3 linked regions of the Nothobranchius furzeri genome follow. The protein of the gene in region 3 binds, or shares a complex with, the protein of the main gene of each other region. Links are inferred from orthologs where the notes say so. Each region holds a gene or a part of one and is shown on either strand. Other genes may lie near its edges.

Region 1 (10,684 bases), on a different chromosome or scaffold from region 3:
TAAGCCATCGACCTGTCTGGTATCTAGAGCTGACTTTATTCAAACTTGAATGTGGTTGAAAATAAAATGTTTTGACCTGCAGACACCTGTTCAGCAGCATACTGCAAAGGGCTCGTTACATCATAATGAAGTAAGGAGCATTACAGCTGACATTTACCTGGTGACAGCACACCCTACACAACAATTCAAAACATTGGTCTCAACATCTGCTCCTCCCTAACGGTGCCTGTGCAGTCTGCCCACTTTTAAATATGATAGGGGGAGCGCCACCTATGTTTGTGTGAATATCTGCTGTGGCTGATTCCCAAAGAGCCGAGCCGTTTCGAATACACCACCTTCTCCTAGGAGTTGGCAGAAAAAGAAACCATATTACACGTCTGCTGAACTGACTCACAAAGACTAAAATATCATGCATTCTAGTGAGTCTGATTGTTGCCAGAATCCGTCCCTCAGGCCAGGTGGACAGGAACAGTGTGTGCGAGGTCATGTTTATTTTTTTATAGTTACAAAGGATTATTCCTACAGAGAAAAAGGGACTGATTAAGACGCCAAAATATTAGTCCTTGATTGATGCAACGTTGATTTGAATTTTGGAAGTGACTTTGTTCTTTATCCAGTAAGACCTGCAGCTCACCCATCGATATACATTATATATATATATATATATTATATATATATATATATATAGATATATATATAGATATATATATAAAGAGAGAGCTCACCCAGTCTGCCTTCAGTTTGTCCAGCATGATCAGATGATGAGGGCTAATTACTCCAGGCTGCAGCATGTTTATGTCAGCGTCGAGTGCTTGGCGATGCAAATAGTGAGATAAATGAGCAACTTGTATTTGTGCTACACAACATGAGTTGCATCAGAACATTTATGACACAAACGGGTAGGTTCAAGAAACAATTAAAATCTTTAATATTTGACAAAAATCTTCTCAAATATTTAACAAATAAGTGTTCATTTTCTTAAGACCAACAGGTGTTTTAATTAAGGCTTTTTGGACCCCCGTCTCTGGGTTTATACAGTCGGTGTCAGAGCACTGCTGGGACAGAAACCGCAGCTTCCCGTTTGATGAGACAGGTCAGAGGACAAAAGACACTTATGGAAAAGACACCAAGAGAGGAAGGCCTGCAGTTGACTTCCTGAGACAAACTAAAGAGGCATTTCCAGTTCTTTAAGACTCACTCTGATGCAGTAAGAACACATCTGGCTTCCAGTTGCTTCCATATGGAGCTAAACACAGAACCAGTTAGTTACTGGCCAAATGTGTGTAGAAGGATACATAATTAAGTTCAAGTATAACAGGTTTAAAGCTACAAAGCAAGACCCTATTAGAGTCCATGAGTGCAGGTTCGCAGAATAAAAGCTGTCTCTCCCGCTACAGTCGACTGCTTTTATTAATCATTTCACCATCTTGCTTTGGCTTTCTGATGAACATTTAGTACTGTAGCAAACACCATATTTGATTTTTAAGACGATGTTCTCTGATATGTGGCAAGTAGACTTAAGTTCAAAATATTTTACCGACTCTCACAAAAAAAAAATGAAGTATTGTTTGGAAATGGTAAAGACCAAGAGATAAATTAATAAATATGCATTCTTCACAAGTCAAGTTTGATGGTTTAAAGGGATATTTTGTGAAATTATATATATTTTTTTAATTTCTGCTGCTTAGTGCTACAAAATAAAACAAAAAAGGCTAGCAGAAACTTCAAAATGAAAGCTCAATAATGTAAACGTGAAAAGCAGAAGCATAAGAGTCTAGACTCTAATGACAGCTGTCCTGCCTCTGGTGGGTTTAAAGCACCGCCATTAGAGGAGATGCATTTCTAACTCCAGAGGCAGGAATCACTACAGCATGAGCAGAGCCAGAAAACTACAGAGATTTGTTGGTGGAAAGACAAAACTCAGATGAGTGGATGAGTAAGACCAATCCTGGTGAACAGGTTTGTGACAAGCTCCTTCATCCAGTCTTCCTCACATTGGCCTTCATCCTGATTCTTCAGTCACTTTCACTTCCTGATTCACTCAGCTGGAGGTCATTCTCTGCAAGGAGATATTTGAAGAAGTGTTAAGACTGCACACTGTCATGGTGGTAGCTATAAATCCCTTGACACGTGACATCAAGAGTACGAGCCTCCCAGCCTCAGACTGGAGGGTCAGAAGAAGGTTCAACAGTGTTATCTGTCAGTTGTCAATAATTGGTTAACTAAAATCTGTCAGCTTGGTTAACACATGCAGCGCCGCGGGCTGCACAAACAGACGAAAGGACAGTAATGTCAAAGTTACAGGTTTCCAGCTGATAAAATATACAGAAGGCGTTGGTTAACTGCCATGAAGAGAGTATCCGAGTTGTCCACATTGTGGCAGAAAAGGTTTCATGACAGAATAAAAAAGTTAAGAATCTTCCCCACAAAGTCTGAAGACGAAGAAACAATCTGGGCCAGACACAGCTGTCAATAAATCACAGAGTACCAAACCAACCATAACCCTAACACACCGTAGTCCGTTATTAAAGTGTGTGTAATAAACCTCTGAGTTTAAGCACATTTAATTGTATAGATGTTAACAACTATGTTCATTTACAATCAAAACCACATATAAAATATAGAATTTATATATTACAATATACTCATGAGTCCTATTTTATCTTCCAACAGGAGAGCCCTAACCCCAACAAGGACATTTCCTGTTTGTGGTGAACAAATGACTTCAAAATAAAAGAAAAACAAAAATAACTATTTTTCTATTTTGACAGAAAATCCTGAAGAGTTGACTGATAATTAAATTAGTCAAGAGATGAAGGGTCATAACAGCTGTTGCGACAGCCCTAATGGCAGTTTAACCTCCAGCTATAATAACAGCAGCAGGGTTTTGTTGTGGTTCAGCCTCAGACTCTGAAATTCCAGCAGGTGTTGGGAAATTTCCCTGACGTGTGCAACCTTTCTGAAATCTTCACCTCCTGACAACAGTAAAACATCTACAGTTCTTTCTATAAGACACTCAACTGTAAAATGTATTTAGCATACATTAAAGTTTGAAAAAAGGCCGTGATTAAAACACAGGAGATACGGCAGATCATTGTAATCCCTTCACTTAGTAAATCCATGTGTGTCTGCAAGAATAATGCACAACCACAACAACTTAGTGTTTAAAAAAAGAACTGGTTCAGTCACATATGTGGGCAAAAGCTGCAGGGTCACCGAGGTTACTCACTGAGTGTGTTCATGAGTCCTCCCCCGCTCTCTTGGAGGCGACTGGTGGAGCTGGTGTTGATGATAGGCATGCTCTGATTGGCCGAGGGCGCTGCAGGAGTCTGCTCCTCTTCTGAATCGCTGCTGCTTGAACTGTCGTCACTGCTGGAGGACGAGCTGTTGGACTCTGATGAGCTGTCGCCACTGCTGAGCTGATCCATGACCTGCGCCTCTGCCATCAACTCTGCTCCAGACACACAGAAATAAGCATATTGATGGAGCACAACCACAACCAAGACGTACAGCCTTAATGAACACAAACAAAGCTGTGTCACCTCTCTCTATGTCATCCATCGGTGAAGGTGAAGAGGCTTTCTCTTTGGGGGGAGAGCTCTTGGAGCTGGATGAGGTTTTGCTCGTGCCGCTGCTGTTGCTCTTCATTTGCTGACTCAGGCGACTGGTTTGCTGCTCTAGACGAGAGTGGATTTTACTGCTGCCCTCAGCCCTGGAATGTCACATAAAAGAGGGGAAATATATATAAAGAACATTTCTAATTAAAAATTCTACTCATTACTTTGGGTTAAATACACTTAAAACAATTAAGTGTTTTGCCAATTCTGTGCAAATCTTTCTTGGTTAAGAATTTAGAAGGGATCAAATCTAATTTCAACAGCTAAAAGAAAAGCTTTTCTAAAAAAAAAAAATCAACACATTGGTTTGCATTAAATCACTAATCATAATAGTGAATGCTTTAAAAAATAAGGAAGCCTTTTTATCTCACCTGGTCTTCTTCACGGCTATGTTGCTATTGAGTTTTTCTAGTCTGTACTCTCCTGTATCGTGGTTCACAATGAGGATGCATTCTTTCATGTAAGGCCTCTTAGATCCACTGAAGACTGTAACAGGAGCACTTGAACCCTTAAAAAGGAAAACCAAAATATTAAATTATACGTGTCTGTTTTTATTAAAAATATTAAAGTTTAACTCTTGGAAGGAAAAGGTGCTAAAGATAGTTGTAATTTATTGTAAGTAGGGCTGGGCAATAAATCGAAAAGTTATCGTTATCAAAATTTCTGACTGTTAACGAGAATTTTTCCCATGTCAATAAATTTGCTAATTTAAAAAAATGAAAAAATGTGTGTGGGTTGGCGACGTTCATGTCCCTTTAAGCTGCACCACCTTGAGTCATGTAAAAATATGACTCAATACATGTGACAGCCCCATCTAGTGGACAACTTTTGTTTCTGTGCATACATGTAGTTATCGTCCATTTATCGTTATCGAGGTGAAATCCTTAATATATCGTGATTTTGATTTTAAGCCATATCGCCCAGCCCTTAATTGAGAGTGTAATAAAAACAATTTGAAATAAATAAAAATGTATTTTGAAGGAAAACGGTAAAATATATTAATCATTGTAATTGTTCTGTCTTGAATAAAGAGACAGAAATTCTAAGGTTTTTGTTTTATTTTACTAACCTCTAAATTTGGTAAAGTAATTTTGACTTGGTCTCCTTTGCCAACTTCAAGTTCTCCTTCACATGCTGTATCAATCGATGCTGGTTTGAAGTCATCTGTCACAGATAAAGGTAGAAAAAGGTCTCGAGTGAAACATGAAACACAGCGCTTTGTGATTTATATCTGTGAAAGGCGCTATATAAATAAACTTTTACTTACTTACTTACATTTTACTAGACAATACATGTTTTGGCGATACAGTTCATTCTTCCAGCCACAAGGTGGTGCTAAATTCCTACCTAACGCTGCTGCGCTAACACGTTAGCTGGCACTTTCACGGTTAATGGCAACAATGGCTTTTATTATTCACGTAAACTGACAGTTCCACAATAAAAGCCGACAATTTAGCAGAACACTGAAGGAGCACACTGAGAAATATAATCGAGCGCGGCGATAGAACTGTATGCCGGATGGCAAACGGTAATCTCAGCATGTTTAGCTTTAATGCTAACTAGCATGCGTCTGTTAGCTACAGTGAAAAGCCAGACGTCACCGACGAATAAAAAAACACTTACATCGCACTGTGTGGTAAGAGCTTTTGGGGTGTTTCTCGAACGTCTCTCCCAATTTCAGGACATGTTCCTGGTTGTCAAAGTTGGAGAAAGTTGTCCCATTCATTCTGACTAACACGAACCGTATACAAAAGTTTCCTCCGTGTTTTTGATGCCAAACGCAGGTAATGCTGGCAGAAGAAACGTTTAAGTCCCGCCCATTAGTAAAGTCTCCTAATTATTATTGGGTGACAAGATTTTTGCGCTTTTCTGGTTGGATGAAGACCTGTCAGTTAAGCACTTGTATTGATTGGGCAGCTACAGTGAAAAGGTGACAATTTTTAAAATGTGGACAATAACTTATGTAAATACCCACAGCTATTAAAACTTTTAATTCATAATTTCCTGAAAAAAAATTTCTGTTTTATTTATCATTTGAGGTAAATAAGAGACAACACATAGTTTTTGGTTTGTTTATTTTTGTTTATTTTGGAATGACGCTCATGTTTTATGTGTTTCCCAAAGTTAGGGCCATGACCTCACCTGAAGTAAAAAATAATAATCATTAAAAAAAAAACAAGTTTAAGGTTTGGAGATGTGCTCCAAAATGAATTATATAAAAAATGAATACACTATGTAATTTGACACAACAATAGCAATTTCAAGTGAAGCTTTTTTTGGTCCTTATTTCAGGTGTTTAGCTAGTTTTTTATCTATAGTTGTGTTGTTAGACAAGTTTTATCAGGGTTGCAAGTCTTTGCTCTTGTAATATTATGAGTGAGAAATAGCAAAAGTGGAAAAAGTGAACATTATATTGCAGAACAAGCACAATATTGTTCACTGAGGATATTGTGGATGAAAAAACATAAATGTAATTAAACAAAAAGCTGTATTTTAATAAACTGGTACAAAGTTCAGTGTTACATGAAATAAAATAAACATCAACTCACCTGAAAAGTTATTATAATCCAAAATCTGAATTAAAAAGCCATTAGAAGAAGAATTGACATGTATCAAATAATCATCACATCCTCCATTATGACCACGTCCTGCATGACTGAGACTACACTCCAGCTACTATTAGGCACCAAAGTTCTGACATTAATATTATTGATCAACAATGCAGGAAATAAAAAAATGCCATCTGCATCTGAAGAAGAGATTTGAACTTTCCCCTCAAAAAACTATGGGGAACTATTCCTTGTAAATTATAAAAATAAAGACCTTTGTTCTTTGGGCAAATGCCCTCAGTGCTGAGATCATATGATTTTGGGTTATAGCTGTTAGCTTTGAGGGGCCATCTTGAATGGGGTTGACTCTCATAATAATTGCTGATCCTGTTCTGTTGTAATATTAGTGTCCTTAACAAACATCGGCTCCTCTATCTGAACCAAATTACCAGCCTCACTGGGCAGAGCGCCTCAGACACAGCATGTGGACATCCTGCAGCTCTGATTGTAATGAGCTGCAGCAGAAACACTTACTGATCGCAGATTTGAGCCTCTCTGGCTCTGAGAAGCTCTGAGCTCCATGAACCTTGTGGCTGTTAAAATAATCTCTTTTCCTTTCTTTAAACTGCTAATGAATCCTAAGCCTTAAATCCTTCACTCTGCCTGAAATTTACTGAGACCATATGTTCTCTTGCCTTAGTTAGCAGGTCAGCATCTAACAAGTGGAGAGTCAGGCTTTAACACAAGTGTGTGATCACCAGCTGATCACAACAGTTGTCTCGTGTCATGGTCCACATGAGGAAATAGTGCATATGTCCACGTCCATGTCGACTCACTAATTGTCAGCTCTGCCTAAAGATGCAGAATGCAGCCCTCATATAATGGAAAACAGGATTGTTTGGGCAATCGTCATGGCTCATATTTATTGTTATCCGGTTACCGAGGAGGGACAGTCTTTTGTGATGGGAACCCTTTAAATTTGACGAGCTTTGAAAATGGACCAAGACAAATTATAAAAAGACCGGATTCCTGTTTCATCCTGAATCCCGTGTGAAAAGACAACAGCATGGGTCTGTTTCCATGGATGGAGGTAAACACTGACTGTCCTTTGGTGATATCAGTTACTTTAGGGGTTGCCCCTGGACTGCAGGAGGTGAGGTTTACGGTTTTTGAGCAACTAAATCCTCCAGTCACAGCAGAGGATTCCTATTGAATCTGAGGATAGCACCTGTCTGCTGGGAGAGGCGGAGCCTGAGCAGGCTCTACCAACCTGGATGAAATCAGTAATAATGGAAGCCATTTTCACAATTACTCTCTGGAATAGTCTCATTTTTGTTTATTTAACTTGGATAATTTAAATTCCCATCAAACCATCTGATGCAAATTTATTACATACTATTTGTCAGTGCGTTCCAGTTACTACAACATGTACCACGAATATCAACATGCACCAGCCAGATGTGTCCAGGGACAACAAACCCACCTGCCAGCACATTATTTTGTATTTAGACCTGCAGATACCTTATCTTGTTTGTTGAGTCCTTAACCAGAGTATGTTGGGAAGCAAAAATTTAATGTTTCTATGATATACAAAACCTAGATTCGCTTGTTCCCCTTATTTCCAAGTATTTAGTCCAGGGGTGTCAAATACACGGCCCGCGGGCCGGATCCGGCCCGCGAGATGGTTGTGTAAACTTTATTTTCATACTTTACAATGTAGAGTGAAAATAAACTTATCTTTGTGAGCAAGTTTTCTCTGTAATGAGTATAAATAAAACAAAGCTGCGCTCAAGGCTCACACAAGAACTTGAATCACATCCTGAAGTCGGCTGCCACTCAGGATGTGACTTCTGATGTTGATGTGCTGGTGAAAGCTAAAAGATGTAAAGTAAAATGAGTCAAATATATTTTAAGTGCTGCATGAAACTGATCTAGCCATGTGATCTGTAAGCTCTTTGAATCACTAAGGAATGTTTTTTTAATTGATTGATTTTTATTTTTATTTTTTCAAATTTTCAAGTACACTTCAGGTGTCGTACTATTTTGGATACCCTGTCCTCAGGCTCCAGCTTTGTTTTATATTGATTGTATTAAAACAAAGAAAACAATCTGAAGTTTTTTTTAATTTACCGGTCCGGCCAACTTTGGTCTAGATTTCCCTCAATGTGGCCCCTGAGCTAAAATGAGTTTGACACCCCTGATTTAGTCACAATATTCTAAGTAAGTGTTTAAAAGTTGCTCCAAAATGTCACGCCACTCCTTTAGCCCCATAATGCGCCAGATACTTTGAAAGTGCAGTCACGAAAACTCAGCTTCATTAAAAAAAAATTCCAGTAAACCTTAAGAGTTATGAGGTTTATTTTCATGTTTTTGTTGCATCTGCTCTGGGGTTGGCTGCATTCATACTGTAGCTCACGAGTCCTGAAGAACATAAATACAATCTAAATGAATGCAATAATCCTGGAGATGGAGATGTTTCTATTAGAACTAGTGCAAAACTTTTAATACCAAATTTCCATTGAGACTTACTTGTTTTATGATCTCTAAGATGAACTTTCATATGAATATTTTATATGGAGATCAAACTGCAACAAGTGCATGTACAAATGTTTAAATAAAGAATCAGCCTTTTCAGTATATTTGGTCACGGTGACGAGAAGAGGCTCCAGCAGCTGTGAGAGGAGGCCCAGAGCTGACATCCTGATGTGAGTCTGGAGGGGTCATAGAGGGGGGTGAATGGACTTTTTCATCTGAGCCAATCAGGAACAAGTCTGGTCTTGTCCTGTGCTAAATTCACTTGCCAAAGTTAAGGTGTGAAAAATAACGAGCTGTGGCATGGCATGGGTCTGCAAACTGTAGCTCTGGGGCCACTTTGTGGCTTTTAGCATTAGCAAATAATTATAACTACTTAAGCTTTTATGTTAACTTTGTCATTCTGTTATTTGTTTATCAGTCAATCAATCAATCAATCAATCAATCAATCAATCAATCAATCAATCAATCAATCAATCAATCAATCAATCAATCAATCAATCAATCAATCAATCAAAGCTTTATTTCAATCAAAGCTTTATTTATAAAGCGCCTTCCGCAACCCTGTCAGGAAGCCCAAAGCGCTGAACATTGTACAGATGTATGTAAATATATTGAATAAATCAACAATAAAAGAAATTCAAATTACAAAATACAAATTACAAAATACAAAATGGAAATTACAAGATAGAAATCGATCGATCAATCAATCAATCAATCAATCAATCAATCAATCAATCAATCAATCAATCAATCAATCAATCAATCAATCAATCAATCAATCAATCAATCAATCAATCAACCAACCAATCAATCAATCATCAATCAATCAATCAATCAATCAATCAATCAATCAATCAATCAATCAATCAATAATCATCAATCAATCAATCAATCAATCAATCATAGCTTTATTTATGTAGCGCCTTCCGCAGCCCTATCGGGAAGCTCAAGGCGCTGAACATGGTACAAGAGAAAGTTAAATAAATATGGTGAATAAATCGAAAATAAAAGCAATTAAATTACAAATTACAACAAAAGGTAAAACATTCTAGTAGAATACTAATGGGTAAAACAAGGGATAGAGTGAACCAATGAAAACAGGGAAATTAAATCAACATAAAAGAGGGCCAAATTCAAACACATTCAGGAAACGCCAAGCGGAGGAGGTGGGTTTTTAGGCGACTCTTAAAGACTGGCAGAGATGGGGACAGCCTAACTGAGGGTGGCAACTGGTTCCAGAGTGACGGTAGGACTGAGAAAGCCCGGTCCCCACGAGTACAACACCTAGAACGAGGGACAGCGAGCAGGCCTTGGTCAGAGGAGCTCAGAGCGCGTGATGGGTAATGTTTGTTCAGGAGTGTGGCTAGATAGGGCGGACCACCACCCTGGATGAAATTATAAACAAAGACGAGGAGTTTGAAGTGTGAACGAAAACAGACCGGAAGCCAGTGCAGGGAGGCCAGAACTAGAACCAGAACTTTATCATCTCAAATTATTTAATATTTTACACAAAAATATAAAAATGATATAGAAATGAGAAATAAACAAGAAAAATCTTTAGTATATTCCTTTGCCATACAAATAAATACAAATACATGTAATTAATTTGTTACATTTATTTAATTTTATAAAGAAATGTATAATTTTATATTAAACTTAAAGGTTTATTACCTTTACTTAAAGCTTAAACATGCCTTGTGGCTCTTTACCAAACACAACTCTACCGACAGAACTGCTGGTTTCGCGGTTCCAAACACCTTAAGTCGTTTATTTTTTTAAACATCAAACAAAATACGTCTTTTCAGGACTTTCCATCTGATATTTACTATAATTTCTCTTTAGCATCAACATGAAATAGCCCAAATAATTTAAATATGTGGTATAATGATTGATTTAAAAGTTAAACAATGATTTCCATCAGTAAACACAAAGAGTTTGGGATTTTACGAGCTGCTCCTGAAGGCATCACAGTTCCCAAGGAGA
Region 2 (10,398 bases), on a different chromosome or scaffold from region 3:
GACACATTCATCCTTTCTCTTAAGTCACTCAACTGATTTCTTTTGTAAATTGTAAATGTCTTATTCTTTGTGTTTAAAATCTAATGTGATGCTTTCATTTTCGTGCCAGTGGGAATTTACAGTTTGAACAAGATAATTATGGTTTTACATTCTACTGCACCTTTAAAGTAAATCTCTTCAAACTTGCTCATGTGTGGGGTTATCAGGTTTTACATTCTGCTACTCCAGCAGGTTCAAACAGATCAGTCCGTCTGTCTTAGTGATGTACAGATCACCTTACGCTACTTTGTGTCAGAGAAAGATCAGCTTGGGCTAGTAGGTGCTGCTGATAATAAGCAAATACTTTTGCAACCATTTGAACTTGATCACAGAAGCGTTTTCACAAAAGCAATTAAAGTTTTCTAAACTCTGAGATACTTTTAGGGTGATTATTGATTAAAAATAGGGTTTGGGTGACTTAGTGTTTGTCTGGATTTGCATCTGGCCTTGAGTCGAGCATCAACTGATAGCAGTCTTCTGACTTCATGACAAATGAAAATCTGAAGTTAAATCTGGCAACAGTAACACAATTTTAGGAACAAAATTCATGTTTGTGTGGACTTAAGTAGGTTCATCAAATATTTCCATCACTAAAGCTTTGTGGTGCTAACCTTCTCTTGCTAAAGGAAACAGGAAGCCACATTTAGAGCATGCTGAAAAGTAGCAAAGACCCTTCAGTTTCACCACAGTGGACTCGTGCAGGGACAAAATATTAATGTGATGCAATTAACATTTATATAACAGACCCTTATCGTGAGTTTTACTGTTTCCAACACAAAAATCCAGTATTATTTGATTCTGAAAGAACTTAAGTTTCTAACTCTTCCAACTTTATAAATCCAGTTTCCTCTTCTCCTTCTATGGTTCATCCTTTTCCTTCTTATTCATATTTTCAAGAAGCCAAAAAAAAACACATTATTTTAAAGCTTCATTAAAATAAGGAGACTACAATATTCTGTTATGAATAGCTAAGCACAACTGTGTAGTACCCGCTTTCAGCCACTTGGGGGCAGCAACTCCCCATCTTCCCTTCTAGAGTGCTTTTTCTAGTTTTGGCCACAAGAGGGCGCAAACCCCCCATTCTTTCAAGGCAACAAACCAGAGCTGGACTTGGCACCTTGACTCAACACAACCAGCATGTTAAACAATGGAACATAAAACAGTTTCAGGGTTTTTTAGCTAAATAATAAAAGGGAAAGACCCTCAGAACCATTTCCCTGTTGCCAACACCATAGCATTTCACTTTGAAAGTGTGTGGGGAAAGGGTTTCTGAAGTGCTGTAAACATGCATGCATCAGCATCCGTATGAACTGCAAAACACCTGTTACAGTGAACAACATGCAGACACGCCCACCACGCTTAGACTCCAGTGTCAGGAATGTGCAGATGAGAAGAGCGTTCACTCTTGTCTTTTCCTGGAGCCACCATAAATGGATATTTCAGGAAAGATCCCTGGTCTCATTGCGCTCCAACCACATGTGATTAAGGCTTATATTGACATCTGCAAGCAGCAATTTGAGCTCCTGAAATGTGATTTTATCCACTTTTTTTAATCTTTTAAAAACCTTACACGTCTGTTTTTACCTGTGGTGCCACTTCCACTTTTGGCAGAGAAATTGGTTTTAACAGACTTTTATCCTTGAACATTTGGCTCTCCTCTTCCTTCATGATGCACAACACTGGTTTTAAACAATTTAAACATCTTCTGGGGCAGGAGGCACCTGTTTGGGATCTACTCAACAGACAGGGCACCCGTGCCCTGCCATGTCCACAACCCCCACTGTCCACCACGTGCCCCTGAAAAATAAATGCTTCCCCTCAACTCAACATCAGAGCTGAATAAGCTCAGAATTTATTTACAGAGTAAATGTTACACAGCTTATAAATATTTTGTAAGAAAAGTGAACACTTTCTTTTAAAATGTCCCCAAACCCCTTGTGGTCCTATGATGGCTTCCCATCATACAGAACTTGTACATTTTTCCATCCAGTCCAAACCTGACATGTCAGTCTTCCCTTAGAGATTTGTGAGTTAACAGTGACATCAGGAGCTCTGTGGATGTGCAGGTCTGATGAATTTGCTCTGAAGGAAAACCCTCGGAACACACAGTCCTTCCTTCTTGTTTACCGTCTCTCTCAGAACGTACTCGTTGGACACAAGGTCAAAGCCCGCCTCCAGAAACAGCTTAGCCAGAAACTCTGAAAAGTTGAAAACAGCAAGATTCCAGGAGGAGGAAAAAAAAAACAAATTCATATATAATCAATTCAATAATTTTAAATGTGCAACATGTCCCCTCTTTCACTTGAGACTGAGTTGACTGAACAGAAATACTCTGCTGACCTTTGGAGAAGAAGTAGGACCTTGTTCCATCCTGGCGAACGTAGAAGTTCTCCCCAAGCTTGTTTCCAGATTTAAACCGGAGCATGGCGTGGTCGTACATGCCATAGTCCCTGAACAAGACAACACCACCGGGCTTCAGCACCTTAAAGCCACATGTAGATTGTTACATCGCTGAATGCCAGTTTTGTGCAGGTTTGCATAAAAAGTGATTTGTACTCAAAAAAATAGACTGCAGTAACCATGTTTGACCACAGGATGTCACTCTTACTTACTGCACCTTTAAGTTCCACCTGAATTGAGTGAATTGTGCGTGGTGGTCTCAGCTCTTAACTCTACCTTGCTGATGTTCTCCAAAACCAGCTTCATCTTGTCGGGATGGATGGCCGACAGGACAAAGATGAGCGTGACAACATCGACGCTGCCTTCTGGGACATTTTCCATCAGATCATCTCTTGTTAAGTCACACTGGAAAGCACAACAGCGCTCAGTGCAGTAAAGAGGGTTTTCCTGATTAATAAAAACAAATAACAAAACAAATGTTTACATCTTTAAATGCTGTTTTTTTCCCATTTGGTTACTCTTAGCCCTTGAAATCTCCTGTTAAGGCAGCTGAACCGGGTTTTACCACAAATGGCATCAAAGGCAGCTACACTGCAGCAAAGCTTTTTTTCATTTTTATTTTTAACTTCTAGAGCACTAAGATTAACTAGACGTGCTAGAAAAGGTGGATTTCCACAAGTACACAGTTAAGCACCTTACTTTGACAAAATCAACTGCCCGAGGAGAAAAGTCACAGGCATAAACAAAGATGTTGAGGTCATCCTCCAGAAGGGGGAAGATGCAGTTCCCAACCCCGCATCCAGCTTCCAGCAGAATCAGTTTCTGGGACTCGAACTGCAAAGAGACAGACCACGTGACCCAAAATCATCACTTTGTTGTCCGTTTGGCCTCAAATCACTGTGAAACGTTGATATTCTTTACATAAACTAAGTTCATTCTACACTACATATGCTAAGTTTAATCAAACACCCCTTATCCGCTCACCTCCCGACAGGCTTTAAGCTCCTCAAACTCTCTGGTGGTCCAGTGTCTGTCTTTAAAGAAATTCGTGGTGTTTCTTTTATAAAACAAGTCCCAATTTTTCTGCGCTTCTTTCTCCAGCTTAATTTGTTTGAAATCAGATACCAGCGTCCGCTCACTGCTCAGTCTGTCCCGTTCCTCTGGAGTTAAATCTCTGACAGAGCAAAGTTTTGTTTCTCGTCCCCGTGACTCCACCTTTGTTTCGGGTTCCACTTCTTCAATGTCTTCAACTTTGCACTTTTCATTTGTCATTAACGCCATTGTTGTGTTAGATTGCCGTTCTCTCTGATAGTTTGTTTATAAAATAAAGCTTTATATAAGCTTCAATAGGAAGAAAAAGGAGGTAATATTTTTCCACACTTGGCATCCATCTTGTGCAGCATCGATGACACCGGTACCGGTTGGTGTTATTAAAAAAAATACCACGGTGGTCAACGCTTTAAAACACAAAATTTATACAAAATATAATATAAATTTTGACTGTACAATTTTATTGTTTAAATAAGTTACAAATATTTTTAACAGCTCTGAAATCACTTACACCCAGTCTGGTTTTCCGTCGGTGGTATTTGATGCTCGGACCAAAGGCAGTGTTACGCCGAGATATGTTTCCTCACAACAACAGTTTCTCCTCCTATTTTAAGCGAGTTTCCCCTTTAACTTTGTTGTTTAAACCAATTATCTGATAATAAAATAACTAAACTGAAAACTTTTGATAGTTTAATTAAAACATTAGTCATCACAGCATGGCAAAAACGTACGGAAAATATTACTTTTTAAAATTATTTAATCTGTGTTCGGTAAAAATAAATTCATACTTAAGTCAAATACTAATAACTGAATAATTGTTCAATGAGGTAAACATATTTATTTTCCAAGAATTCAGAACGGAAAACCCGCACACTGATATACGAGTAAACCGTTTTTCACTTAACACCGAAAAAGCTGCAGTCGCGTGACGTAAGTGTTGTTTTGCTAAAGGTTAGCATCTGCAAGCTAACTTTATCTTTATTTAGATTATCATCTCCGGTAGTTGCTGGATATAGCTCTGTTTTTCGGTTGTAACACAAATGTAAAATTTAATCCGGTTTCAACCAGACGAAGTCATGAACGGAAACACAAATCCACTGCTGGACAAAGAGGAACATGTTCTGAAGCTCGGAGAGAGCTTCGAGAAAAGGCCAAAATCATCTTTTCACACCATCAGATGTGAGTGTGAAAGAGACCACTTTGTGTTTCTAAAAGCTTTTAGTAAAGTCAGCTGTTGGTTGGAAGTAATTAGCTCACAGTGATACAGCTATTACATTCATTACGGTTACAGAAGTACACAATAAATGAGAAAATTTGATTTACATGTATGAACTGCAAAACACCGAACTGAAAGAAATTGCTGAACAGAAATGTGTTTATTATGTAAAAAATAGAAAGTTAAATTGTGGGGTTTAATGTTTTTTTTTTAAGTCCTTGGTTATTATCAATTATTAACTGATCATCATTCAACTTTTACTTAATTTTGCTTTGTTTATTTAAACATTTCCTAAGCCAAGTAGACAGTGTGACCAATAATTAATAAATGCACATTTCACCCAAATACCAGCAGCACATTATTTAAATATTTCCCGGTTTGTAAATTAATGTCATATTAGCAGAGTCAAGCAAAGTTATAATTTAAAACATATAAGGGTGATTAGCTAAGTTTGAATCTCTTTCATTTTTAGAAACTAAATAATTAATAATAATAAGGGATGCACCAATATGAATTTTTTGGGCCGGTACCGAGATTAGTATCACTGTTATGGCCGATAACCAATATTGGCCAATACCGTTTTATGCATCTGAAATCAGCAGATTTTGAATAGACTGAAATTATGCAAGTTGAATTTTGGAATGTTTTGCTTTATTTCTATGAAGTTGAATTTGCATTATGTTATACACACACACACACACACACACACACACACACACACACGTACGCTTCTGGTAAATGGTAAATGGCCTGTATTTGATATAGCGCCGTCTAGAGTCCTGGAACCCCCCAAGGTGCTTTACAACACAACCAGTCATTCACCCATTCACACACACATTCACACACTGGTGGGGATGAGCTACGATGTAGCCACAGCTGCTCTGGGGCGCACTGACAGAGGCGAGGCTGCTGAGCACTGGCGCCACCGGTCCTTCCGACCACCACCAGCAGATAACATGGGTCTTGCCCAAGGACACAACGACAGCAACAGACTGAGCGGGGCTCGAACCTGCAACCTTCCGATTACAGGGCGAGCACTTAACTCCTGTGCCACCGTCGCCAGATGATTACCATCACGGTCACATGTCTCAACAATTACACATCATAACTGCCCCTTACCCTCTGAAACATACACAAACGGAAATAAGATGGAAAAAATATCAGTTCTTAAAATCGGCCCAGTTTTAATTGTCGGACTGGTATGTTAAAAATGTACTAACATCGGCCAATACTCGATATTGATGCAGATATATCATACATCTCTAATAATTATATAATTTACTTCTTTTTCTATTTATTTAAGTTTTTCTAAGCAGTGAAAGGACTTGATTCATGCCTAATTTATTTATTTATTCTTAGATGACTTCAAACCAGCATCGATCGACACGAGCTGTGAGGGAGAGCTACAAGTTGGGAAAGGAGATGAAGTTACCATAACACTACCTCATATTCCAGTAAGGTTGCAGAGACGTAAACAACAAAGCACCATTCTCACATTTGTGTCAGCTGGCTCACAGTTATGGTTATTCAACATTATTAATGTTATTAAGTGTCAATCAAGTGCTTTCCCTCTGCTAACAAAGTCAGATAGCAGCTTAGGTTGAGTAATCATAGTTGATTATGTTTAAATGTAGTTTCAGTTTCATCTAGTTACATCAGGAACCAATAAAATAAACAAGTAAAAGCCCCTTTGTATGATTTTATTAAGAAAAATCAAAGGATCAAGTAAAGTTACATACTCTTCCAGGGCTCCACGCCTCCAATGACGGTATTTAAAGGAAACAAGCGGTTGTATCAGAAGGATTGTGTGCTCATCATTAACCACGACACGGGGGAATTTGTCCTGGAGAAGCTCAGCAGCAGCATCCAGGTCAAGAAAACAAGGTGGGAGAATTGTATATTACTTTTTCACACTTGATAAATCATTCATTCTAAAGTGGGGAGCAGAAAGGAGCAACAGTTGGTGAGTCTGCCGTGTTTATTTTTTATAGGGCGGAGGGCAGCAGTAAGATCCAGGCCCGAATCGAGCAGCAGTCCGTCCGTTCCTCCCAGACAAGCTCTCAGTTCCGAGCCCCGACCAAACCAGGGGCCGGGAACAAAACCTCACCCTCCCACACGAAGGACAACCCGTCCCCAGAGCCTCAGCTGGATGACATCAAACGAGGTGAGAAGGTTCTGTCACAAGATGGAACTGGTGTGTCTCAAACTGATTCTAGCTAAAATATCAGCTGGATATTGTAACTGGTGTGAAATGAACCCAGAACCAATAATGTCTCTGACCTGCTGCCGCTGGCAGAGCTGCGGGCGGAGGTGGAGGTGATCGAGCAGATGAGCAGCAGCGGCAGCAGCTCGTCCGATTCAGCCAGCGGCTCGGGGAGCGGCGACGACAGCAGCAGTAGCGATGGTGAGCACGACGCCCCCCCGCAACCGCTCAGCCAGACCTCCCCCAGCTGCACCCCCATCACCAACGGCGGAGGAGACCGGCAGCAGGGCAACAACCAGCTCATGAACACACTCCGTGAGTAGCTCTGCGTAAACGCTGATTCTCCTGTTTCTGTTTTTAAATCTCTGCATTTATCAGTTAGTGCCTTCACATTTTTATGTGTTATTACAGGATTTCCTCAGATGATACATTCCAGACGAGTTAGTTTACTCACTTAGATTATTACTTTTCTTTTTCCTCCACAGGAAGCGATCTTCAGCTCAGCGAGTCGGGCAGCGATAGTGATGACGACTGAAGTCGCTCTCCTCCTCCACACTCCTCCTCCTCCTCGCTTCCTGGTTCTTGCGTTCACTTGCTGTGATTTTTGACCTCAGCTTTAAGTTTCTGGTTTGACTGTATTTTTTTAACATTTTATTTTATTATAGCCACCCAGAAACCTTAGGATAGCATTTTATTAGATGTGCATTTTGTTTTGTATAGGAAAAAACAGAGTTTTACTTTAGGATGTAGAAGATTATAAAGAGTGTTCAGACATATTTTAAGTACTTATAAAAAACACTAGTTTTATCTGCATAATTGATCTATTTTTCTCCTTTTTTATGATGAGGCTAGTATGAAAAAGCTTTTTCCCTGTAGTGGAAGTCTTCTCTCCATGCGTATTAGTGTTTTATTAGTTGGATGAAAAAACAGCAAAAAAACAGAAAAATCAGCAAAACTCTGCAACAAGTAACAATTTTAAAAAATGCACTTTTTTCCTCCCAAGTCTTAACAGAGAAGGTGCCGATTATTGTGGATGGATTATTTCATTCATTCCCAAAACATTTCCTTATAACTAATTTGATAATGTATATTTTTATTAGTCTTTGGGAATGTCCGACGTTGCTTTAGGTTCTGAAACAACACGTCAAAATTCAACTCATGCTGGTTAAAATTTTGTTGAAATGGAATAATTAAACAATAAATGTCTTGCAGTTATTTTTCCGGCCACAAGGGGGCAGCAAAAGACCCCGAACCACAAATGTGTTTTTACTTTTTCTGGTGACCTTCTAATTTCAGCTTTAATTTGGTTTCTAAAAACATTTTAGGAAGATAGTTCTTATTTGATTGAAACATCAAAAAATACAAATAAACCCTAAAATAATGCACAATTTTTTAGAGATGAATTCAAAACTACGGGTTCAGAAAAGCTAAAATGTTTTGTTGAATTCTTTTAATTAACCACATCAGAGGTCAGATAACAAGCAGTTACCATGGAGACAAGAAATGATGACAAATCAGGGTTTCTGATGAGAAAGAAAACAAATGTAGTTAGTTTCAGACAAGTTTTTTTTCCCTTTTTAACAAATATTCCATCATTTCTGATTCTGAATGAAACCACTCCGTATTACATTTTAATGCCTTGCAGCGTTTCAGTGAAGACATGAGGGTGAATGTATTAGTTCAGAAATAAGCCAAAGAGTTGATCTCATGTAAAAGATATGCAGGAGTTCATATGTAATGGTGTTGAATGGTTGTGTTTCTGCGTTTGTTTGTTTTTTTTTTGTTTTGTTTTTTGTTAACCGCACCAGTGACATCAGCGCCTTTTCCTTTAATCTGCAGATTTTATGATATAAGTAAACATAATAATAACAATAACAATAATAATACTGACCGTTTGAGGTTAAAACAAAATTAAATTTGTTAAAAACATTAAAAAACTAGTTGTTGCTAAATGCTGACCACTGGAACTTGGTGGCAGATTTAGATCAAATATAACTGGATGCAGCTGCTGGTTTTTAGTGCCATTTGATCTGGTTTTGTAGAATTCTGCCTTCCTACGCAAATGGTTTTAATGACTTTGGCTCATTTAAAAAAAAAGCGAGCTGCAGAAATCATCACTCAAGAGGTTTTTTTCTAAGCAGATGTTTGGATTTGAACAAAGTCCTTCCCTTCCACTGATGGTGATGTTCTGGCTGAGCTGTGTTGAGTGTTAATGTCTGTGAAAATGGTGTTAAATGATGTTGTTGGTATAAATATTAACACATTAAGAATGGCGGCCCCACGCTTTCTTTTCTGTATTCTTATTAATCACATAAATCCCAGTTTTGTTGTGAATGGTGCTGATGCTACAGGACGGTTACTGCTAGAGAAGACAATAGATCATTTAAATTTTTCTTTTATTCATTTTGAAAAGTTGTGATTCATAAATCTGCCCATTGTTGATGTGTTAAACACAATAGTGTCAAAGAATAGAAATATAACACTTTCTTTAGGGTGAGAAACTTTATTTTTTTGGACATAAAAATCAGTTATTTTGATTTGTTCCTCTCATTTGTCCTTGTGGTGACTCGCTAAGCAATCAAAGCAAAAACTGCACCAACTACTGGAAATTTAGTCTAAACGAGTACTTTTACTGTTCTAAAATCTCAGAATTGTGAACTGGACTTTAAACATCTTCAGCCTGTTTTTACTTCTATTATAAGTGGAAGAATGAACATCCAGACGGTGCTCTGCAACACCATTTTGTTGTGTTTTTTTTTTTTTACTTCAAAGCTTGTTTTTGTGACACCTATTCTGTACAAAGCTGAAGTTATTAAAATCTTGCAGAAGTCACAAAAAAAGTTTTAAACTTTTTTTAGTTTTTTTTTCTGCTTTTCAAATAAGGTGTGGCTCTAGAATGATAGTAATTTTTTGCATTATTGATTAGAAAACTGATAATGTATTTTGGAGACTAGGTGGTTTTGCTTGCTTTTAGCACCCCCTAGTGTCCGTTTAGTAGAACCAAAATAGAAACTTACCTCCTCGGCAGGCGTTCGTCTTTTTTAACATCTTAATCTAACAGCTGAAATGTCTCGTCAGCCTTCATTAGTGTATACAGAAGTGATTCATAACTAAATGAAACAAATCAGCTGTGTTCGTGATCTAAAACACACTGGAGACTTGCTGGAAGCAGACTGCAGTCCCAGGTTTGTCCGCTCCATTTTTTTCTAAGCCAGTCACAAACCAGAGCTCGTCGAGATCTTTCTCTTCCACCCAGCTACAAGTTGGAACCATCCACTCACAAAAATAACCCTAACCATAATCGCCCTGTCACCAAAAATGTATGTTTAGAATAAATATAATTTATGAAATTACTGTGTAACACGATTCTTATGCTTGTTTTATGGTTATGGTTAGGACGCACATTTTTACAAGGCGTTCAAACTCGCACCTGGGTGGAAAAGAAACAGATCTCGACAGGGGAACTCATTTTGACACAACACTGGCCACT
Region 3 (10,717 bases):
AAGCATAACCACTGGTGCCACCCATGCACAAAATTGTGCCTCACCTGGGCCACCCCATTTTAAAAGATCTGGACACGCCACTGGCTGTTAGTAACAATCTAACAGATTTTAAACATTAAAACTCAACAGAAATAGTTCAGAAAGGAAATTTAAATGTTCACAACTTTGTGTGTGATTTATTATTATAATTATTCATAGTGGCAGAAGCTGGTGTGGTCCACCACAGAGAAAGCTGCTCTAGCATGATGACTAATTATTCCACAGGTTATTGTTCAGCCTTCTGACGCTCACACACACTCACACACGTGTTTTTATTTCTGCAGTGAGACAAACTCACCTCACACCGTCCAGAGTTTGTTCTTTAAAGCTTCTATTAAATCCACCGTCTTGACGTATTTTAATAAGTTTCCTCTACGCTGCAGGAGTTCATGTTTACATCACGGAGTAAAAGTTCGGCAGACGCGTTTGTTTACATCTGGGTGGGGGAGGGGGACTCGGTGCTGCACACAGACAGCTGGTGTGATGATCAGCTCTGAAAAGCCTTGATCACAATTTGCAGATCGCGTTTATTCTTCACGGAGATCGGCCGCGGATTCCTCTTCCGTCGGCACTAGGAACCGAAATGAAAAACTAGCAGTTGGAACCGATTCCAATCGATGCCCAGTCGGTACAACTCACCGTGTGCACTTAGGTCTCCACAGCAAGACTTACTAGTAGCTCCTAGTCGGTAAAATGCTTGACCAGAAGAGGCGGGGCCTTCTCGGTTTTGGCCCCTAAGCTGTGGAATGACCTTCCACTTGAGGTCCAACGCCCCCACTGCTGCTTTAAAGGAGTCGGAAGACTCGATTTTATTTTGACCATAGAACAATTATAACCGAAGTGTCTCCTTTATTATCAGAATGTTTCAGGGGAAATCAGTTTCACAGGCTCTACAATAAAAATGTGAATAAACATAAAATACACGAAATTCAAACAGAAACACTTAACAGATTTTAAAAATGTAAAATGCAAGTAAAACAAAAGCAAAAAAGAAAATGCGTAAAAGCAAAGTTTAGATGTCGAACAGATCTCTCATATTTATATAATTAGACTATTTCTACCAGACAACTAAAATGTTGCCTGATTTCAAGTAAAAAAGGTTAATGACTCGGGGTGTGTGATCCTGACGCCATGTTCAGGGCAGGTGCTGACACCTGGTGGTCAGACGAGTCCGCTGCAGTCTGAGGAACCAGCAGACCAGTCCGTTTTATCTCATCAATAGAGAAGTGCTGCTCCACTCAAGGTACTAGAACATCTGTTGCCATGGAGACGAAGACACCAACCTGCTGCAGGTCCCGGCTCCATTTAGTCCTGGAACACGTGATTCATTCAAAGAAGAAAAAAGGTTTTTATTTGTGTTTTTGATTCAAACACAAAAAAAACTTAAAACTAAAGTTTGGGTCAGAACCACGTGCAGTCAGAGTAAGCTGTTCCTGTAGAACCAGAACGGTCATCACTCAAACGAGACCGAGCAGCGAGCCCAGCGGGACGCCTAAAGCAGGAAACGGGAATGTTCTCCCCGCCGGGGAAACAAAAGTTCTGTTGGCCCATTTGCCGGTACCGCACTAGAACACTCGGTCGAACTCAGTCTGGCTGGTGGTGGCCGGGTTCCGGTTCTGGTTGGGCTGCTGCTGGGGCATATGGCCTCTCCGTCTGGGCGGAGCCAGATACTCAAACATGGAGGTGTTGTGAGTGGACAGCATGTTCTTCAGGTCCGATGGCATCGGGTCACACCAGAAGAAGTCATGGTTGAGCGCGTCGTCGCTGTCGATACGCTGCGATGGGTCCAGAACCAGGAGTTTGTCGATGAGGTCCAGAGCACACGCGTCTTTAACGTAGGCCTTCAGGCGGTCCTTCACCTTCCTCTTCTGGCCTTTGGGCAGCTCCATCTTCTGGTACAGCTCATACTTCTTGTCCACAGTGGGCCAGACCTCAGCTGTGATGGAGCCGCACAGCTGGCTGATGAGAGTCAGCTGGTGCTGCTCGGTGTTCCCCTGCATGATGGGACTCCTGGTCCACATCTCCGCCATGATGCAACCCGCTCCCCACAGGTCTATGGGGGGTCCGTAGTCCCGCTCACCTGAAGGACACAGAGCCAGGTTCTGTTAGAGGGTTCTTTGTTACAGAACGTTCCTTCAGAAGTCCAGAGAGGCTCATACCCAGCAGCAGCTCCGGAGGTCGGTACCAGAGCGTGACGACCCGGTTGGTGTAGCGGTTCCCCTGACTGTTCTTAGCCAGGCTGAAGGCCCGAGCCAAGCCAAAGTCCGCCAGCTTCAGGACGCCGTCTCTGGTGATGAGCACGTTGGCGGCCTTCATGTCTCGGTGCAGAATCTGAACCAGAACACACGATTTAGGACCGGGCCCACTTGAGACCGGGTCTTTAATGTTCTGCTTCTGATCGGTCTCACCTTGTTCCTGTGGATGTAGTACAGCCCGTTCAGCAGCATCTGCATCACCTTCTTGATCTCTGCCAGCGTGAATTTCACATTAGCGTTGCTCAGCAGCCCGGCCAGGTCGTGCTCGCAGAAGTCGAACACCAGGTAGATGCTGCCTTTGTACCGGTTGAACTGGGTCGCTGCAACAACAAAAACACTGGGTGTCACCTTCAGCTCCAGCAGCAGATGGTTCCTGCAGCTGAAGATCCGGCCTGAAGCCACTAACCTTTGGTTCTGCAGATCTCAATCAGGTTCACCACGTTCTCGTGTTTCAGCAGCTGCAGGATCTTGATCTCCCTCAGAGCTGTGATGGGGAACTGAAACGAAACGAAGACTGAGCGATGCTGGAGATGCGGTCCACGCGGTGATATTAATGAGACGACTCGGGTCATTTGTTTATGTTCATATTACTTTAACCAAAGTGAGCTGTAATCTAAGACAGCGGTGTCGTCCCTCTCATGTCTCCATCTGTGCATGAAAATGGTTCTCCACCTTCACACAGCTGATCATCAGTGGTGATCAATACATCTACCCAGCTGTTGAAGTTCTCCAGACTGAATGAAGGAGCCTCAGTGAAAGACTCCTGTCATGTCTGCACCACATATTTCTATCCTGAACTCAGATAAGAGCTCTCCAGCATTCACCCCACCACCTTCAAACCAGTGAGAAGTTCTAACGTGTTCTTCAGCTTCACCAGAGTCAAAATGATTGGGAGGTCAGGGGTTCGATTCCTGGACGGGTCATACCAAAGACTTTGAAAAAATGGGACCCAATGCCTCCCTGCTTGACACTCAGCATAGGGGTTGGATTGGGGGGTTAAACCACCAAATAGTTCCAGAGCGCGGCTTGTCTGCAGCTCACCGCTCCCGCAGGGGATGGGTCAAATGCGGAGAATAAATTTCGCACACACACCTGTGTGTGTGACAACTAATGGGACTTTAACTTTAGATGCTGTGAACCCCCCCCCCCCCCCCCCCCAATTGGTGGACTTCAGCCTGGCGAGGTCATCAGCTGGAGGAGTCAATGTGCTCTTCACGCCTCCCAAGATCTCCCTCCCACCTGTGACTGTACAGTAGATGAGCGCCTTATGGGCCATTCCCATCTGTACCGGGTCGGCCCGGGCCGGGTAGCGTAGGTTGTTTACATATCTGGGTGGCCTGGTATTTTTCCGGGCCAACCAAGGCTCATTCTCAGCCCTCTTCTCGAGGGGGTCTGCTTCAGGCCGACCAGGGCCAACACACCCACTGCTGACAGCAAATTCACACCTTCCATTAGAGCAAGCCTCTGATTGGTGGGTAGAATCAGCCCACATGGGCTTAAGGAAAGGGTGTGTGGAATCAACCGGGCCAGGCTGGGGCCGACTGGGGCTACCTGGCCCAGGCTGACCCGGTACAGATGGGAATGGCCCATCTGATGGCTGCTCTCGCTGGGGGAAGAAGGATCCCAGCCCCACCCCGCCTTCCTATTGGGAGTCTCATGTTGTGGACTGTTGATGTTCATGCTTATATGTCTGAGGTGTTTTTTTGCAGAGCAAAGCTGCCCTCCCTGTGGAGGGTAGCTCTGAAGTGCCTTTTTTCCCTCCACCTGAACCAATCCTCATGTAACCCTCTTATCTCTATTAAGGTAGCGCGACTCAGGGTTGCGAATGACCACAGTCACCAATTCTTGTCATGTGTCTTGCCCATGTGTGTCTGATCTCTGAATTGTGTGTACTGAAACTCTAATTTCCCTCTGGGATTAATAAAGTATCTTTGATTTGATCTCAGCTGTGATTTTAACCACAACAAGCAGCAACAGAAACTCAGATCTGTCTTGTTTCAGGCTCTCTTCAGGCTGCAGGAGAGCAGGGGCCACTCTGGGACGTGGATCAGGGATGCACCCATGACCGTACCAGTATCAGGTACTGCCCAGACACAACACAACCAATACCGACCACGTGGGTCCACTGTGGTGGACGTTAAACCCTGTTCACTTGTTCTAAGCTTTAGCGCACTCGAGTGGGGATCCAATTAGAGCCCTGCAATGGGACTGGTATCCCACGGGTCCCAATGCTAATCTCAGCAAGGCGAGCGACTGAGGACAAAACTGTGGGCACCACATTAACCTGCTAGAAGATGGAGAGTTCAACTGAGGTAGCTAACATGGAGAGGCGGGTTTGGACGCGGATGCTGTGAGAGCCGGTGGTGATGAAGAAATCAGCTCTAGTTCGAGCCTCTGAGGCCCAGGAACATCCAGCTGTTCAGACCCATATGATTGCCAGCTTCACACTTCAGATCATAACTGACGTAAAGTCTTTCAACATCTCTAAATGAGCTACCAGGTTCTCGTCTCTCACCCCTTCCTTTTCATTTTCCATCAGGACTTTCTTCAGAGCAACCTTCTTCTGCGTCTGCCGGTGCTTGGCTTTGAACACCTCCCTGAAAAGACACAAACACACGTTTATCCTGTTTTAGAACAAGGACTTAAATGTTATTGACAAGCGCAAACCCTAATTTCAGAGTAAACATTAGAAATCAGGATCAGTAACAGTCTTGATCCAGTTACCTGTAACCCCTTAAGGCAGGGGTACCCATGTTTTAGTTTTAACCACACCTGATTTTAATCAGCGGGTGATTAACAGGCTTCTGCAGAGCCTGATGAGCTGCTGTACAGTGATTTAACCACTAAAGCGTGTTGGAGCAGAGAAACCGCTAAAACATGCTTTATACCGGCCCGCCAGTGCCAGTTGGCACCCCGAATTAGGTCTTCCTGACGGTCCATCATGGTTTTTCTTTGGATCTTTACTGAGTTTCCGTCCCTGCTGCAACTAAAGACCCTGAAACAGAGCTAGCCCTCCTCTGTGTGCACAACACAGCCAGAACATGGCCGATGCTACATCAGCTAGCACCGCTAGCACAAACACAGACCCGTTCACTTTACCGCACAATGAAACGTCTCAAACACGTCTGTCTCACCCGAAGGTTCCCTGTCCTATCTTGGCCAGTTTCTCGTACTTGGAGAACTCGTCGCAGAAAGGAAACTCCACTCCGTCGTAATATTTGGACATTATGGCGGCCTCGCGGTCCGGCCTGGTGGGGACAAAGAGGTTAGACTGAATATCAGGAAACTTATAGACAGAAAAACCAAGACACACCACACAGACATACCCAAAAACTTAAATATAAAACATATATAACAAATGAGCGAATTCGTAGTTGGAAATCTTACTTTTCAGCCGCGCCAGCGCTGCTAGCTTTCTCCCGCTGCATGACTGCGTTGACGTTCGCCTTTCTTCTTCTTCTTCTGTTTAATGGAGGGTTGGAAACAAACCACAGAGGATATTCTGCCACCAACTGGACAGCAGATGTAACTACAAGTCCCCCAAGGACACGTTCAAAACCCAAAACTCACCCCCAAATCAACTTTTTCCACCCGAATAAACAGGCCCCGGTGTCGGTACAGGATCTGCTCGGGTGCAGAACCGGCTCGGGGTCCTTCGACTGCCGATGACGTCAAAGTAGTTGATTGGCTGAACATGAAGCTTACGGAAGTTACGTTATCACGTTTGATTTTAATTGGTCAGAACAAATTTGCGGTCGTAGTCTTAGCGGTTGTAGTCCTGTAGTCCAAAAATCAACACTTTTTGGAGAAAATATGTTTGAATTTCTAAAGGAAATGTAAAATATAAGCAAATGATAAACGGTGACCCTCAAAAGTTCTTGATGTTGATGAAATAGGGCAAAATAAAATATAAGAAGTTTACTGAAAGACACCAAGAAATATTTTGAGTCAAAGAATGTATTTAGATAACAACTAAGGAAATATACAGACGAAGTCCCCATTAATACAAACAGATATGGCTTCACATGTAAGAACTGTTCTATTTTTTGTCAGTCTGATGTTGGTTTTATGCAGTTTCACATTTTTTACAAAACAAAGATAATATGGTGTTTTATTAACAAATTAGAATTATAAAGAAAACATTTAGGTTGATTCTCCAAATCTGAGACCATGGTTCTCGACCGGGAAAGGGTGGCTTGCCAACTCCGGGTCGGGGGAGAGGTCCTACCTCAAGTGGAGGAGTTTAAGTATCTCGGGGGTCTTGTTCACGAGTGAGGGTAGGAGGGATCGGGAGATCGACAGGCGGATTGGTTTGGCGTCTGCAGTGATGCGGACGCTGAGCCGATCTGTCGTGGGGAAGAGGGAGCTGAGCCAGAAAGCCAGGCTCTCGATTTACCGGTCGATCTACGTCCCAATCCTCACCTATGGTCATGAGCTTTGGGTAATGACCAAAAGAACGAGATCGCGGATACAAGCGGCCGAAATGAGTTTCCTCCGTAGGGTGGCCGGGCTCAGCCTTAGAGATAGGGTGAGGAGCTCGGACATTCGGGAGGGACTCGGAGTAGAACCGCTGCTCCTCCGGATCGAAAGGAGTCAGTTGAGGTGGTTTGGGCATCTGGTCAGGATGCCTCCTGGACGCCTCCCCGGGGAGGTGTTTCGGGCATGTCCTGCCGGCAGAAGGTCCCCGGGTCGACCCAGGACACGTTGGAGAGGTTACATCTCCAATCTGGTCTGGGAACGCCTTGGGGTCCTGCCGGAGGAGCTGGTGGACAAGGCCGGGGAGAGGACGGCCTGGAGCTCCCTAGTTGGGATGCTGCCCCCGCGACCCGGACCCGGATAAGCGGAGGAAGACGACGACGACGACATTTAGGTGTTAACGAACAAGAATTTATTAACAAAACTGCTGATGTCTTTCCAAAACGTATGTGTGAAAGCCGAGTAGAGTTGCAGTCATGTGACAGAAGGTCCTAGCCAGGAGACGCTGATGGTGGATGCTAACGTAAAGCGTATATCCAGTGTCTTTATTTGTATTTACTTCTAGTTTTCTAAATGTGGCAAGGTGGAGAAACGAGGGCCCGGGTGGGATTTGATCCCCAGACTACCGGAAGTACCAAAAATTGCAGTTCCACCGTCATCCACTAGGGGCTGGTGTCAGAAGCGAGCAAATCCTCATTGACTCCCATGTTAAAAATACCAATTTCATAGCAGAAATAAACATGTTTACAGCCTGGTACCAAAACATGTTTTTGGTTTAAATGATCTAGTTTACACTCATGACAACTCTGAGGGGGGTGAATTTTTTTCTCACTCTTCTGTTTAAGTGTGTTAAAAGCCTAAAATTCTGTATAATTAATGAGCATCAGACCCACGTGACCACAGAGCTAGCTCCATGGAAAGGCCTCAGTAGAGCCTCGGTCTGGCCTGGAAACTGTTCCGGCATCTTGAGTCTCTGTTTGTTTTTTCTGTTTTGGATATTTTTTGTGCAATTGTTGGACAAAATGACTTGCTGTGGCATTAATTGCACTAATAGAGCGTCCAAGGAGTCTCCACTTCATTTTTTTCAGTAAGTAAAATTATATTTATGTATTTTAGGTCACTGCCGAGCTGAGCTTAGATTTTAACATGTACTGTTTAACCATGAAATGTAAATGTAATAGGGTAAAACCCAGTGCATTTAACATAACGCTGCATGTCGGCTTCTGAATTTTGCAATACACCAGGCACCTGCCTACTCCTTACAGCAGAAACCTAGTTATCATGAATTCAAATTTACAAATATATTTTACATCCTCCATGGAAAGCAGAGACAGACAGATGATGTATCCACCCAGGAGCGTTTCATTGTCTATTTTCTATCAGAAGCTAACACAGGAGATAGGTGTAGGAGACTATTTTCTATCCAGCTAACACAGGTGTAGCATGGATAATCTACGTACTAGCATATAACGCTGTTTGCTATCAGCTTTGTTGGATCCTGAGAATGATCAAGCAAATTAGCATATGAAGCTTATATCATGTATAAATATCCAGGATACTTATATAATCTATATAAGTTCATTATACTGTTGTGCTTCTTTTTCGGTGTTTTTTGGTTTGTTTGGTTTTTCTTTTTTTCTCCATAACTGGTGAATCTGCAAACTTACACATTCTCTGTTTACCATATGTTGTTTTGTTTATTTTTTTAATATATTTTTTTCATATGTTGTTTGTTTAATTTAAGACTGAAAGAAAATTAAATGAATAAGAGGTAAAACTTGGGGGTAGGGACAAATAATACTTCTTCCTACTCCTTTTCAAACAAATAATGAAATTATATTTTGTAATGATACGTGTGAAATGTTTGAAAAAAAAAAGAACTGAACTGAACATCCAGTCAAAACCTGTTTGCACGCTGCAAAGCTGACACAGCCGCACGACTCCTTAAGAGTCCATCCGTCTTAGACGCAACCAACCTTCATGTCTGTTGTGACCTGGAGACAACTCAAGACTGATCTGGTCGTTCTGCGGTTATTCTACGAACTTCGGTGCCTTGAGGTCCACCAGACTTCCTGACATTCCAGATCTGAACGGGGGTCTCCATCAGGGTTCGTAGACACAACAGATTGTGTCTGATGTTGTTTTATTAATAATCAACTCTCTAGTTTATAGCAGACCAAAATTCTTTTAAACCCAGACCTCACAAGTTGTTCCAGGTACAAAGGTTCTGATATACATCACATTCCATCTCATTTCATTATTCATTGCTTGTCATGTATTATAATTAGTCTAGAAAATAAAGTTTATTTTAATTATGTACTTGACTCTTTCTGAATTAATACGAAGTGTGTTTATGGTCCCGGAATAAGCAAAGAATCCTAAATTCTTCTGGTTAAACATTCAAAGATCAATCAGGTTGATATTCCAAATTTATATAGAATCACCACATCTTATTGGTCATAATTAAACCCTCCAATTCTCTACACCAGCATGCCTTCAACAGAGGAATTAAATGTAATACAAGATATTTTTTGGACTGCATATTTCCCAGGTTGTGATAGGTGGCCAAATACATAGCAAAGTTAATAGAGTGAAGAATCCAAATATAATTGATGAATGAATAACAAGATTGCTAATGTAATTTGTATGTTGAGTTTTTTTTTTTGCAATTTGAGGTCAAGGGATATACAGTAAACATCACAAATGGACAATGGAACCAGTTTACCTTGTAAGATGTTATTTATATATAATATATATATATATATAATATATATTTATATATATATTATATATATATATATATATTATATATATTATATATATATATTATATATATATATATATATATAATATATAATATATATATATTATATATATATATATTATATATATATATATATATATATTTATATATATATATATATATAATATTTATATATATATATATTATATATACAGTATGTCACAAAAGTGAGTACACCCTTTGAATTTTTGTAAATATTTAACTAAACCTTTTCATGGGACAACATTGAAGATATGACACTTTGACACAATGTAGTCAGTCTACAGCTGGTATAGCAGTATAAATCTGCTGTCCCCTCAACGTAACTCAAAACCTTGATCTGCTTTTAGAGGTTCATTTTCTGCTATCTGGAAGTCATCCATGACGTAGATAAGTACCACACAGTATTTACTTTATTTGAGGTGAAGAATAATCTGGAATAGGAGTTGCATTTTGTTTACAAGCAAACATTCCTATCAGATTCCCCTGCAGCTGCTGAACTAGGGGGACGGGGCTCTGCAAACACTGCTGTAAACAGCCCACGTGGTGTCGATGTGAGTGAGCTCTTTGATAAAGTGTGCTTTTCGAAACTATGTTTATGTATTTAGCAGACGCTTTTGTCCAAAGCAACTTACAAGTTATAATGAAGCCAGCAGGTTGCCCTTGAGGCTAACAAAAAACACTAATCAGTCAATCATAGGTGGCACTAAAACAATAGAGCAACTTTCAACAAGTCAGTTATAATGTGCACACGTTCACAACTGTCAGTAATAGGGATGTGTGGCAATACGATACGTATCATGATTCGGGGAGACGATACACTATACCATGATATATTACGACACATTCAGTTAGACAATATTAGCGAGATTTTAAGACTGAATTTATAGTAGTAAAATTCAATAAACAGTCCAAAAAGATACGTAACATGTTTAACATGAGGCATCTGAACCATAATAGAGGGATTTACATTTCAATGGTGGAAGCAAAACTCATTGCACGCTGCTGCCAACTAGTGGTCGGCATTTGAATTGCACCAAAAGAAAAGAAAACATACAAATGTTTGCATATAAATTCTTCCAAAAATTAAATACACAGCTTTTGAAGATCTAAGTACTATCACTGAAAAAAAAATCATGATATATTGTCATATCGATATTTTCTT

The links.
Region 1: cdk9 (region 3) and eaf2 share a complex: the UniProt entries of both Homo sapiens proteins name them as parts of the super elongation complex. The link is inferred for Nothobranchius furzeri from reciprocal best matches to the Homo sapiens genes CDK9 and EAF2.
Region 2: cdk9 (region 3) and eaf1 share a complex: the UniProt entries of both Homo sapiens proteins name them as parts of the super elongation complex. The link is inferred for Nothobranchius furzeri from reciprocal best matches to the Homo sapiens genes CDK9 and EAF1.

Annotation. Positions count from the first base shown.
Region 1 is NC_091754.1:31,264,479-31,275,162, reverse strand, and holds eaf2 (ELL-associated factor 2), read right to left. Parts: upstream 5,427-10,684; 5' UTR 5,344-5,426; coding exon 5,241-5,343; intron 4,782-5,240; coding exon 4,687-4,781; intron 4,126-4,686; coding exon 3,989-4,125; intron 3,713-3,988; coding exon 3,543-3,712; intron 3,452-3,542; coding exon 3,230-3,451; intron 2,060-3,229; coding exon 2,016-2,059; 3' UTR 1,160-2,015; downstream 1-1,159. UniProt on the Homo sapiens protein: Acts as a transcriptional transactivator of TCEA1 elongation activity. Acts as a transcriptional transactivator of ELL and ELL2 elongation activities. Potent inducer of apoptosis in prostatic and non-prostatic cell lines.
Region 2 is NC_091745.1:66,976,230-66,986,627, reverse strand, and holds eaf1 (ELL-associated factor 1), read left to right. Parts: upstream 1-4,376; 5' UTR 4,377-4,565; coding exon 4,566-4,668; intron 4,669-6,064; coding exon 6,065-6,159; intron 6,160-6,452; coding exon 6,453-6,589; intron 6,590-6,696; coding exon 6,697-6,869; intron 6,870-7,001; coding exon 7,002-7,223; intron 7,224-7,393; coding exon 7,394-7,443; 3' UTR 7,444-9,748; downstream 9,749-10,398. Other genes in the region: tRNA N(3)-methylcytidine methyltransferase METTL6, read right to left, coding at 2,083-2,237, 2,380-2,521, 2,716-2,886, 3,139-3,273, 3,424-3,720. UniProt on the Homo sapiens protein: Acts as a transcriptional transactivator of ELL and ELL2 elongation activities.
Region 3 is NC_091742.1:88,946,495-88,957,211, forward strand, and holds cdk9 (cyclin-dependent kinase 9), read right to left. Parts: upstream 5,827-10,717; 5' UTR 5,723-5,826; coding exon 5,682-5,722; intron 5,543-5,681; coding exon 5,429-5,542; intron 4,892-5,428; coding exon 4,810-4,891; intron 2,792-4,809; coding exon 2,701-2,791; intron 2,615-2,700; coding exon 2,448-2,614; intron 2,371-2,447; coding exon 2,199-2,370; intron 2,120-2,198; coding exon 1,605-2,119; 3' UTR 869-1,604; downstream 1-868. UniProt on the Homo sapiens protein: Protein kinase involved in the regulation of transcription.